Regions from separate parts of the Mus musculus genome. Here region 1 is reported to be linked to region 2. The links are microRNA targets in miRTarBase. Many come from high-throughput screens and were not tested one by one. Region 2 holds a microRNA gene; the other region holds the end of a gene's coding sequence.

Evidence for each region. Region 2 holds the annotated microRNA mmu-miR-666-3p (GGCUGCAGCGUGAUCGCCUGCU, at 2,457-2,478, shown strand). A microRNA usually pairs through its seed, bases 2 to 8, with sites in the 3' UTR of a target mRNA and lowers its output. Matches are read on the target gene's strand: a 7mer-m8 pairs with bases 2 to 8, a 7mer-A1 pairs with bases 2 to 7 and ends in A, and an 8mer does both.
Region 1: miRTarBase lists Rhbdd1 as a target of mmu-miR-666-3p. Seed matches in the 3' UTR shown: 7mer-A1 at 4,176-4,182.

Annotation. Positions count from the first base shown.
Region 1 is chr1:82,442,552-82,447,931 of GRCm38, reverse strand. It overlaps Rhbdd1 (rhomboid domain containing 1), which reads right to left. Exons shown (of 7, transcript NM_029777.3): 7 at 2,566-5,069. The coding sequence ends at 4,978. Among named protein-coding and RNA genes, the nearest start is that of Gm46095, 73 kb to the right of the region's middle.
Region 2 is chr12:109,714,684-109,720,063 of GRCm38, forward strand. It overlaps Mir666 (microRNA 666), which reads left to right and starts at 2,402; the gene lies at 2,402-2,500. It overlaps Mir494 (microRNA 494), which reads left to right and starts at 635; the gene lies at 635-719. It overlaps Mir679 (microRNA 679), which reads left to right and starts at 894; the gene lies at 894-967. It overlaps Mir1193 (microRNA 1193), which reads left to right and starts at 988; the gene lies at 988-1,108. It also overlaps Mir543, Mir495 and Mir667.

The DNA.
Region 1 (5,380 bases), not on the chromosome of region 2:
CTCGATGCTGGGATTACAAACATAAACCACCATGCGTGGCTGCTTTAATGTGGGTTCTGGGAGATTTAACTCACCCTCATGGCAAACACTTATGAAAGAGCTATCAGCCAAGCACCTCCCCACTCCCTACTTTAAATCTACCCTGTGGTCTACCCTTAGAACTGGCTTAGGAGATAAAACAAGATGATCTGTAGAAGGGGGGGGGGTGGCAGTCAGGGCTGGGGAAAGTAAGACTCAGGATCTGTGAAGCATAGTTCTCTATTAGTGTTAGGTGGGCAAATGAAACCAGGCCTTGGGCAAGAGGGATGCATCAACCACAGGCCTTGGGCTGTATGGGTCTCAGCCTCCCATTGGCCTTAGTTGTTATGTTAGTTAAGCAAGAAGAGATTGCCTACTTGCAAGGTTATTTGCAGGGTGTGAAGGGTGACTGTAGAGCTATATAATGAAGTCAGTGTTACTTGTAGCCTCCCTGTGCTATGAGCTTTTCATTGCTATGATGGATGCCTGAGAGAAACATAAAACTATAGTGTATCTGGACACGGATAAACTGAAGTCTCATACAGTGGGAGAGGTAGCAGAGATGGCTCACCTCCTGGTGGATAAGAAACAGACCCAGAGAGACCAAGCCTGGCTGAGGCATACAGCCCCCAAGCACATGCCTGGACTGGCTTACTCCAACTAGGGTCTACCTCTGAAAATTCCCATCACTTCTCAGCAGCAACACAAGCCTGCACCCATCAGCCTGAAGTGGGGGACAATGAACACAAGGATCGTTTCGTATCCAAACTGCAAGTGTGTACTGTAAGGCATGGGTAAGTGCCTATGGCACAGGAATGATGATCTTAGTTTGGGTCCCCAACACCTGTGTATGATCAAGCTTGGAGCAGTCCTGTATGTCTTAATCCTAATACAGGTGGATCCCTGAACTCTGGCTAGATAGTCTATGCTCATCAGAGTGTCTGGTTTGGTGAGAGACCTTGCCTTGAAAAATAAAGGGATGATACTGGAGGCTGGAGAAGGGGCAAGGACACCGGCTGCTCACTTACAGATGAACCAAACTGGAATTTGTTTTTGTTTTACATTATCCATGTTGAGCAGCTCACTAGTCTCATGGGGATCAAATGCCCTCTTCTGGTCTCTCTGGGCACCTGTACACACACACACACACACACACACACACACACACACACACACACACACACACACACACATGATTGCAATGCACGGTCACATTCATGCATTTGAGAAGCAGTTTGCCTTACTACCCATCATGATTTGAATGAGGTTCTTTCCACTTCATCCCTTAAGTATTTACTGGTTCAGAGATTTCAAAGTACTGCTGAAGGCCCAGTGAGGTCAGACAAGAGGATTACAGCCACAGCTCCTGCCCTGGAAAGGAAAATGTGCTCTCATGGCACAACCAAGTATCTCCAAGTCACACGTGGATACCAAGAGACATAGACCCAACCAAAACAGCAGGTCTGTGATGGGAGCCGTGGTCTCTCCGAAAGGTTGTCTCCGGAAAGGATGGCATGAGGACAGAGAGGGCTGAAGGAGAGGAGATGCTGCTCCTTACACAACACTGAAAGGACCCTAGCATCCAGGCACTCACAGCCTGGATGGTGAGACCGGTGTGCGAGGGCTGTTAAGAATAAATGGGATGAGGTCCAGGGTGGCTGGAAGCCCAGTGGTTGAGGTTAATGGCTCTGACCTTTCCCATTTGTCAACACACAAACAATAAAAGATATCCGGGATGATGAGTGGTATTTCTAAAATGGGTTCTGGAAGCCCAACTGGCAACAGTGGTTGGAGTTGAATGAAGAGGTATTTTAAGTATTGAACAAAGCAATGAATCGAAAGACTTCAAGGTCCTTCCAAGCTTAGAGTTTATGATTCTAAAATACTGACAAAAAAAAAAAAAGTTGGGGCAGTGAGAATTAGGTTCGAAAATTTCTGCAGTGACCCACGGGAAGGAATAGAACGATATACTTACGAGTAATTGATGCATTTCTTTCCTGAACACCGACTCCTAAGAGAGGTCGACTATGTGCTGGGGTCACCTCTGTCACTCCACAGCCAACTCCCCTGGTCAGATACTACTAAGCCTAGTCATTTACGGCTTCCTTCCAGCCTCAGCAGCAGACATTCTCATGAACAACTTTGCAAATCACAGGCAACGCCTGGAAAGTCGTCAAGAGGACGCAGTTTTACCTGGTCCTTCCTCTTGAGAGCCAGGGAGGTGCTGAATGAAGAGATCTGTGAGGCTGACTGACCGCACCAAACTGGGGGAACTGGAAATAAAGGACAGTTGGAAGATTGCTGGTAAAGAACCAAGTCTAAAAATCAGCTCTTGGTGCTTACTCCCTGTTGGAAGCAATTCGCTTCTGCTACTCTTTTTCAGAGCACTTCCAGTTTGTTGACATAACTTTGAGCATTCCTTATGGTGGATGGGGCAAACACAAAACAAAAATGTGATAGCAAACAAACAAACAAAAAAAGAATTCCAGACCCAGAAAACACTAAGCACTGGCTATAGGCAAGCCCATGACTCGAGCAACACACTGATTATCATTTCCAGACCATCTTTATTCTGGAAGACATGTGGTTTTCACTTATCCCTAAAATGACTTTTCCCACATCTGTAATAAACATTTGGTGACATCCCACTCCATAAATAAAGAAAAAGTGCATTTTATAACTACACCATCCAAAATTGGGATTTTCAGTGTCTTTGACCATCAAGTCAAACAAAGCAACCAGGTACTGTTACTACATTAAAGCTACATGTACAAGCTAGCAGAATTCTAATAACAAGTGAATAATAACTTTGGTGGGAAAATAACAGTTACTGAGCCTTTTGAGTGTGGAGGGAGGGAGACTGGGAAGGTTGAAGGTCAGTAACAGGCCGTGGTCTAGGGTCACTCAGAACCACAGACATGACTTGGTGCAGGTATGCACAAATAAGAATAGTGACATAAGAGTGTTAGGGTAGAATTCCCAGGTGTTATCAAAAGGTGTCAAGTAGAGAAAAGGTTGTTTCTCATTGTGGTATGGAAGGCAAATGTGCAGCCTGAGAGCCAGGGATAATTTACCTTGACCATTATAATTTAAATGTGTTTGGAGGTACCAGGCTCATGGGCATAATTTATAATATCAACTAGGTGTGGCTTTCCACCAATTACAAATTAAACTAAGGTGCTCAGGCACCATTGTCTGAATGCTTAGACTCCATGGATTTGCTTAGTCCATTCATATGCACGGGTTACAGACATTCCAGGTGGGTCCATATTAACAAGTGGGCATGGAGCTACACAGATGGCATGCACCAGATGTGTCAAATGCATACAGCAGAAACTGAGATGTTAATAGCCTTGAAATGTTGGCCTTGGGCACCAGTGCCTTTTAAAAATGAGCAGTTGTACCTTTATTTAAATACTGTGATTTCTTTCCTTCCTTCATCATCTTCCTTCTCCCCCCCCCACTCTTCCTCCCTCTTTTTTGAGACAGGGTTTTGGTGTATAAGGGTGTGTGTGTGTTCTGGCTGGCTTAGAACTCCATATGTAGACCAGGCTGGCTTTGAACTCATAGATCCTCCTTCCTCTGAATCCTGAGTGCTGGGATTAGAAATGTGTGCCACCATGCCCAGTCTATGATTTTTCTTAATGGACAAAGAGTACTTAGCTTAGGGTTTGTTTTACTGACTACATGTTTCTTGATTCATTGTATAAAGTAATCTTCTGAAAGCAGCAGACACTTGCACACACGCTTTAAAAAAATAGAATATAAAACTGTAAACAAAGAAAGTCAGGTCCTATGTGCCTGTCCCCCAGAGCTGATGGGTATCGCCACTTAGTATTCCATCCTAGGTGTGTGCGTTGTGCATAGGAAAGCCTGTCTACACCCATTCTCATTGGAAACTATGCAGGGAGGGTGCATAAGAGTCGGAGGAACACCATTTGTTGCTCCTAACTCCCTTTGATCTAAATCCTCCCTGACTCTGAGGAGGTGGCAACATCCTGTCTTTGCCTTTTTATTCTCAGAACACAAGAAACAGAAATGCCTTAAGTGACTCGGACACAGCACTTCCCTGGGGCATTTTTCACACACTTGTTTATGACCAACTACAGCCAGAGTAGCCAATGAGAAGGCACTTTCATGAAGGAAAAAAAAATACTTGCTGCAAGGGGGATTCCCTGTGAGAACCCCAGTCAACACGTTGGCTTTGCTCTGTGTGTGTGTGGCACCTGTTGCCGCTCTGTGGAGCAGTTAAGTCGCCCACTCCTGGAGGGGGTGGCTCTGAACCCAAATTGCTGGTGCCACATGATATCTAATGAGTGAGTTGGGTTCTTTTCCTACCTTAGATCTTTCTTATTCCCCTCCTGTTAGACATTCTACATGTGGAATAAGGCAGGAGATGTGAACATCAGGCAGACTTGGTAGCCTGAGCACCCGGAGGAGCCTGCGTGAAAGAGAACGGAACGCCCTGGGAAGGTAGCCACATCCTCTTCCCGCATCACCATGGAAACATGGTGGGAGGACCAGGGGTAGCACTGCCCCTCCTGCTAAGCCAAGAACCTGGCATGCCAGGCAGAGTGAGGGCTGATCCACTCACCTGGTGAGATAAAGAACCCACTTCCTATTAAGGGCCCAGGCTTTACCGCAGTGTGGATAAGCCACTGAGTCTGGAGGGAAGGAGAAAAGTGGAAATTGGTCCCATCTGAAGAGGTGACCTTTGGTTTAGGAGCGATCACGGGGCTAGACAGGCCACTCTGGGAAGGCTGTGGGCTTCCTGGGACATGTCAGCTGGGCTTGTGCATCTGGGCACACAGGGGCCATGGAGTACTTGTTCATGGCAGACAAGAGTGACCTGCAACAGTAACCCTGTGCTCTTCTTTTGTTTAAAACCAATTAGGGGCTTGGGGAGTTAAGTGAACGGGCTCCAATCGCACAGCTGGACTTCCCCTGCATGGTGCCATATCACTGGCCATCAAATCTGTGAAGACGCTGTCTCCTCATTTCTTCTGGTGGGAGCCGGAACCCATATGGCATTGGACCATTTCTGGTATTTCCTGCAAAGAGAAGGCAAACAAGGGAAATGACACACTGCCTATCCATTGTTCTGACATTTACAAGGCGCTGTGCTCCATAGGATACCAAGAAGAGAAAACCAGCTGTTTTGGTGTCATCTTTATTACAACGTTAAAAAGACACATAACACAGAGATTTCAACTCTAGCTGTTAATACTAATTTCGACACAGAGTAAAAGTTTTTAGCGTGGTTCGGTCCATGAGCTTAACTTGATTCAGTCTCAGTCCACGCTGACTTTGTTGTTCTACCATGCTCCATGATATCCATCGTGTCTTAAGGGCTGCTTTCATT
Region 2 (5,380 bases):
ATATCTACATTATGATTTATAACAGTAGCAAAATCACAGTTATGAAGTAACATTGAAAATAATTTTACAGTTGGGGATTACCCAACATGAGGAAGTATATTAAAGGGTCACAGCACTAGGAAGGTTGAGAACCACTCGACCAGGGGGTGGAACTGCCTGCCCCTGCCTGCTGCTTCTTTATACTACCACATGTGCTGGCACACATTTACCTTCCTACTAACTTTATAATGTGTCTGCTTTTAGAATCTTACCTTCCCTGGAAACTACCCAGACTCACAACCAGAGGGCTGGGTCGCTTCTCATCACCCACCTACCTCTTGGAACCAGAATCCGAGGCTCATTCCTGAACACCCCCAATGTACTGTACTTGTTGAAGTTGAGAGCTACTATTCCCCTGTTATCTCCTGAGGCACAATTTCTGGGGTCCCTGGTTCCCTTCAGTGACCCCCCCTAAACCTGGAGAGATAAGGAATGCAGGTGGTCTGTGTTGTTGGTAAATAGTCTCAGGCAATTCTGTGGACTGTCAAATTGCACAGGGGTTTTGGTTGCTCTCCAGGGCCCACAGAAGCAGACACTTCTGACAAGGCACCTGGCACTTTCCAGCTGCCTTTGTTTGCTTTCTGACCAGTGCTAATTGATACTTGAAGGAGAGGTTGTCCGTGTTGTCTTCTCTTTATTTATGATGAAACATACACGGGAAACCTCTTTTTTAGTATCAAATCCCACCCTGGGGGCACTCCCTGTCCCTGATGACGCCTTCAGGGAAGGGACCTGGACTGCTGTTCCCTGGACTCTGGGACATGGGACATGGGAGTATGGCATCAGGACTCAGCCCTGGAAGGAAAGTCATTTGAAGAAGGGACAGGGTCCCCGTGGTGGCCTGAGGCTACTCCCTATGGCTTTGGACTGTGAGGTGACTCTTGGTGTGTGATGGCTTTTCAGCAAGGTCCTCCTCACAGTAGCTATAAGGACGTGCCAGCATCGTGACTGAAGGGACAATGATGCCCACTGTTCTCGGGGTAGCTGTGTGGATGGTAGACCGGTGACGTACACTTCATTTATGCTGTAGGTCACCCGTTTTACTATCCACCAACACCCAGACCATCTGTGGGAAGACACCTTGGTGCACACGGCAGCTATGAAGAAGATGTTGGTGGGGTTGAGGCCAGCGTGAAACTAAAATATTTCAAGCAGAGTTAGCTTTTAAGGGGGATCCTTTTTCTGCTTGTGTGTGTACATATATGTGTTCAAGAGAGAGAGTGTGTGTGTGTGTGTGTGTGTGTGTGTTGGGGGGGGGCTACCATGGGCGTGACTTTCATTTTATGATCCTGTATCTTTGCAGTAAACAACGCCATCCTGGAGGATCCCCTGAATGTGAAGCTATATCCCAAGCTGGGGCACATTTCTCCTGGTGGGTGAGTGACAGGTCTCTCTAGCCCAGCATCAAGCCCACATCTGTCACTTATGGCATAGGCTTCGTTGTTCTTGCTCATCTCCATGTCTGTTCAATTTTGCTTGTCTTCTGAGGATTCAAATCATTGGCTGCTTCCCAGCACAAGTACCTGACTAGGAGATGTATTTCAGATATGACATCTCCTTAGGGAAGGACACCAGAGTCCTCATCAATGGAAAAGGTATGTCATGGTGTTCTGTCTGAAAGAATATATTATATTTTCATGTGTGTCCTTCTTTACTAATGCTGAGTATGCCTTCCATACCTAGGACGACCTCCTGATGTATTGCTACCCTGGGGGTGAAGGTGGCTTCCTTGCCCCTCCTCCAGGCTCCTGGCAAGTGGTTCTTGCAGCCATGGCAGAGACATAGAAAGTAAGTAGGAACTCTCCGACTGAGATTAGGAACTACTGTGATTCTGCTCATGTTTCATTGGTCAAGCCAATGAAGGGTGGGGAGGTGCCCTGTAGCCATGTCATGAGGGAGAGAACATGTGTACAAGCATAGGCAACCAACTATCTACCTGGAACACCTAAGAAGTCTATCTTTATTCATGTTCTTTTTTTTTTTTAATCTCAATGTTCCATTTCCCAGCAAGTGGAGGGTCAACAGAATCTGTTCTCAGAACACCACATGCCACTTACATATATTTTTGTCCAGGAGACATTGTCTCGTTCTGACAAAGGCTCAGATATCTTTTTGTTTCCCATTTCATGATAACCTCCTTGCATCAGGGCCTCCACCGTGGAACATAGGTTGATGTCCTCCCCTCTAGCAGATGGGTGGTGACCTCGACTGAGAGGTCACGGGACCCACCTCCTCTCTTGTCACGGATCCAGAGCTGGACTTTGGGAAGCAAAGTCAGGATTATTATATCATTCTCTGATGTTTGAGGAGACTCCAAAGACCTCCCCAAAGGATGACCAATCCAAAGCCTGTCTACAAGATCCTGATTCTGCCTGCGTGGAGCGGGCACAGCTGTGAGAGCCCCCTAGGTACAGCGGGGCTGCAGCGTGATCGCCTGCTCACGCACAGGAAGTGACGACAGCGGTACTCAAGCCACAGGAAGTGACGACAGCGGTACACAAGTGGTACACAGGGTTCCATGCTGCTGACGTACGGTGCTTAATGAGAAGTTGCCCGCGTGTTTTTCGCTTTATATGTGACGAAACATTCGCGGTGCACTTCTTTTTCAGCATCCTATTCTACGTTGAAGACTTCGGGGGTTCAACTACTTACTGACTTCAGGGAAGCCATGTTAGTCTAGGAAAGTAGTCTATGTAGTGAGCCTGGGTTGTGTGAGTTTATCTCCCTTCTTGAATGGTCCTCTGACCTTTCTTAATGAGAATGGGTTTGGGTTGGTTGGCTCCTGCTCCCTCCTCCCTCCTCCACAACACAGTGTCAAAGGAACCAGTTGACCAGACATTATTGATTCCTAGATGAGACCTTAGCCCACAGGGAGATGTTTGCTGAGACTTCTGGGAGGGGAATGAGTCTTCATTTCTGTGAGAGATGTCTGAGTGGATCTCACTGTTCCCTGAGTTTGAAGGCCAGCTAGAATTCAAGAGGACAGTACCCAGGGCTGTTTAGACAGAGGGGGAAGTGCCTGTCCCAGAGGAACCATGGGACATTTGAGTAACAGTACAATCTGGGACCTGCATCCGACACTCCTTGAAGCTCAACACGTCACTGTACCTTTAAGTTATATTAGCCTGGATGCCTCCTTTGTGTGTAAGTCAGCTTGAGGTGGGCCTTTCCTTACTATGAGAGGAATGGATGGCTCCTTGTTGAGTGGCCTGTCAATGAGTGTAACTGGCATTCTTTGGATGGTATGTTCTCTTGCTCATTATTCCCATTGTCCAGTCTAAGGTAGGTAGTTGGTACCAAGTCACTTTCCTTTGTGGTTCAGATATATTGCTGTAGTGTTGTAACCTTCCAGTAACGGTAACACACACTAATCAATGCGTTTTGTTTTCAGGGAAGGGTCGGTCATATGTCCCGTTCAGGACAGCCGCAAGATGATGAACGGACATTGCATCCCCAGACATCTCACACGCTCAGAATCCTGGAGCCTCCCATTTCAACCTGTTCTTCTGCTTCCCAGTACCCTGTGAGCTCTTTGTTGTATTTGTCTACATCGTAAGTCACTTCTGGGTGCGGGAGAGGGGGGACCTCAGAGGGCATCATCCAGGCACTCACACAGCTGGTTTAGGCTGCCCTGGATTTTGCCACCTAGTTCTTTGACTTTTTTTTTTTTTCTCAGCTTCAGAAGAGGATCCTGGAACTGAGAGAGGAGATTCTGTCTTGGAGTTTGGCACCATCCCATTTCCCCCGAGTGACACTTCAGAATGACTGGCAAGGATGGTAGGCAACATCTCAGAATCTTCAGTCTTCGTCCCAGGTCTTCCTGAGATCCTGAGGTAGAGGGGGTTTGGGCTGGATTGCTATGGCAGTGATGAGTACTGAGCCACTCCCCTTGCCTCAGGACCCCCATCCCTGTCCCCCTCCCGGCCAAGTATCTGCCTCACCCACCATCCCTTCCTTCCGCCTGTCCCTCAGCATCCCTTCACACTCAGGCACACTGCTGGAACAAGCAAGAGCTCAGCCGTGGTACCTGAAAAGAAGTTGCCCATGTTATTTTTCGCTTTTATTTGTGACGAAACAAACATGGTGCACTTCTTTTTCGATATCAAATCTCACCTTGGAGAGCTCCCCATGGACCAGAGGGAGGACGGGAGGCCAGGGGGTTTGGGTCACCATGTGCACAGGGGCATTTACCTCAAAGAAGCACAATTTCACCTGCCCCTCTTGGCTCTGTGCATTGTTAGGTCCAGAATGCCCACCTCCTGGGACAGGCACAGTCAGTAAGGGAAACCAGGAAGCGCACTTTTAGGCTCTGTTGTAGGATGGAGTTCAGATAAGAGAAGCCCAGAAAATTATAAAATCCAAACAATAGCAATTTAATCAAACAGCCAATACAAGCCAAACCACCAATTCCTTCTGGAGACATGTGTCTAGATGTCAGCTGCAGGTGTCTTTACCAAGATATGTCAGTTGGTGAGTGTCACATAACACTATGACTCTAGAAAAGCCTGGGCCCCAGATCAGCTCTTTACCAGCATCCTGCCATGTCTACGGGCTGTGCTCTTTGATGCCATTAGCAAGGCCTTGAGGACTGGTGGGTGCTGGCTACGATTGGGACCAGGGAACAGCAAGCTGTCATCAGCCACTGCTGCCTGTCTCTTATCTCTGATACTGGTACCCCTGCCCTCTGGAGTGGTAGATGTAAGGCGGCACTTCAGACCCCTTTTCCCTAGTGAACTTCTCTTTATGGCTAACATTCTCTGGTAGCCTCCTCATGGCATCAAAATTGCCTTTGAGTGTGGTTGTTTGAGCAGGGCCCTTTGGTGGCTCTCTTGTGAGAGTGGGAGGGAGGATACAATCCAGAGAGTATGAGAACACCTCATCCATCCATCTCCCCTGGAGGGTTTCCGAAGCTGAGCCAGTACAAGATATGGGATCACTCTTAGGCAACCCTTTGCTAGGATACTAGCTATTTCTTTCTTTGCTCAAGTTGGAATAAAAGCTTTGTTTATACTTACGTGGCTCAACAACCATAGCGCATCAAAACCCAGTGCAAACTCCATCTAAGAGGTACCAGGATTAGCCACACACTTAGCTCTTAGTTTCTACTGGCTCAGTGATGCCCTTGGGCTGTGGCTGTACCTGTGTTTTGGCTTCTGCCTATAAAAGATGGAAACACCTTTGGAAAAGCAGCAACTCTCCCTTTATACCCATGGAGAAAGGCTAAGGGGCATGGAACAAGCATGGTCAACCCATTTTCTTAGGTTGAAAATCCCTTTCCATCTAGTGGGTACTGGCCTCGGTGCTGGTGGAGCAGTGAGCACGCCATACATTATATCTGTGA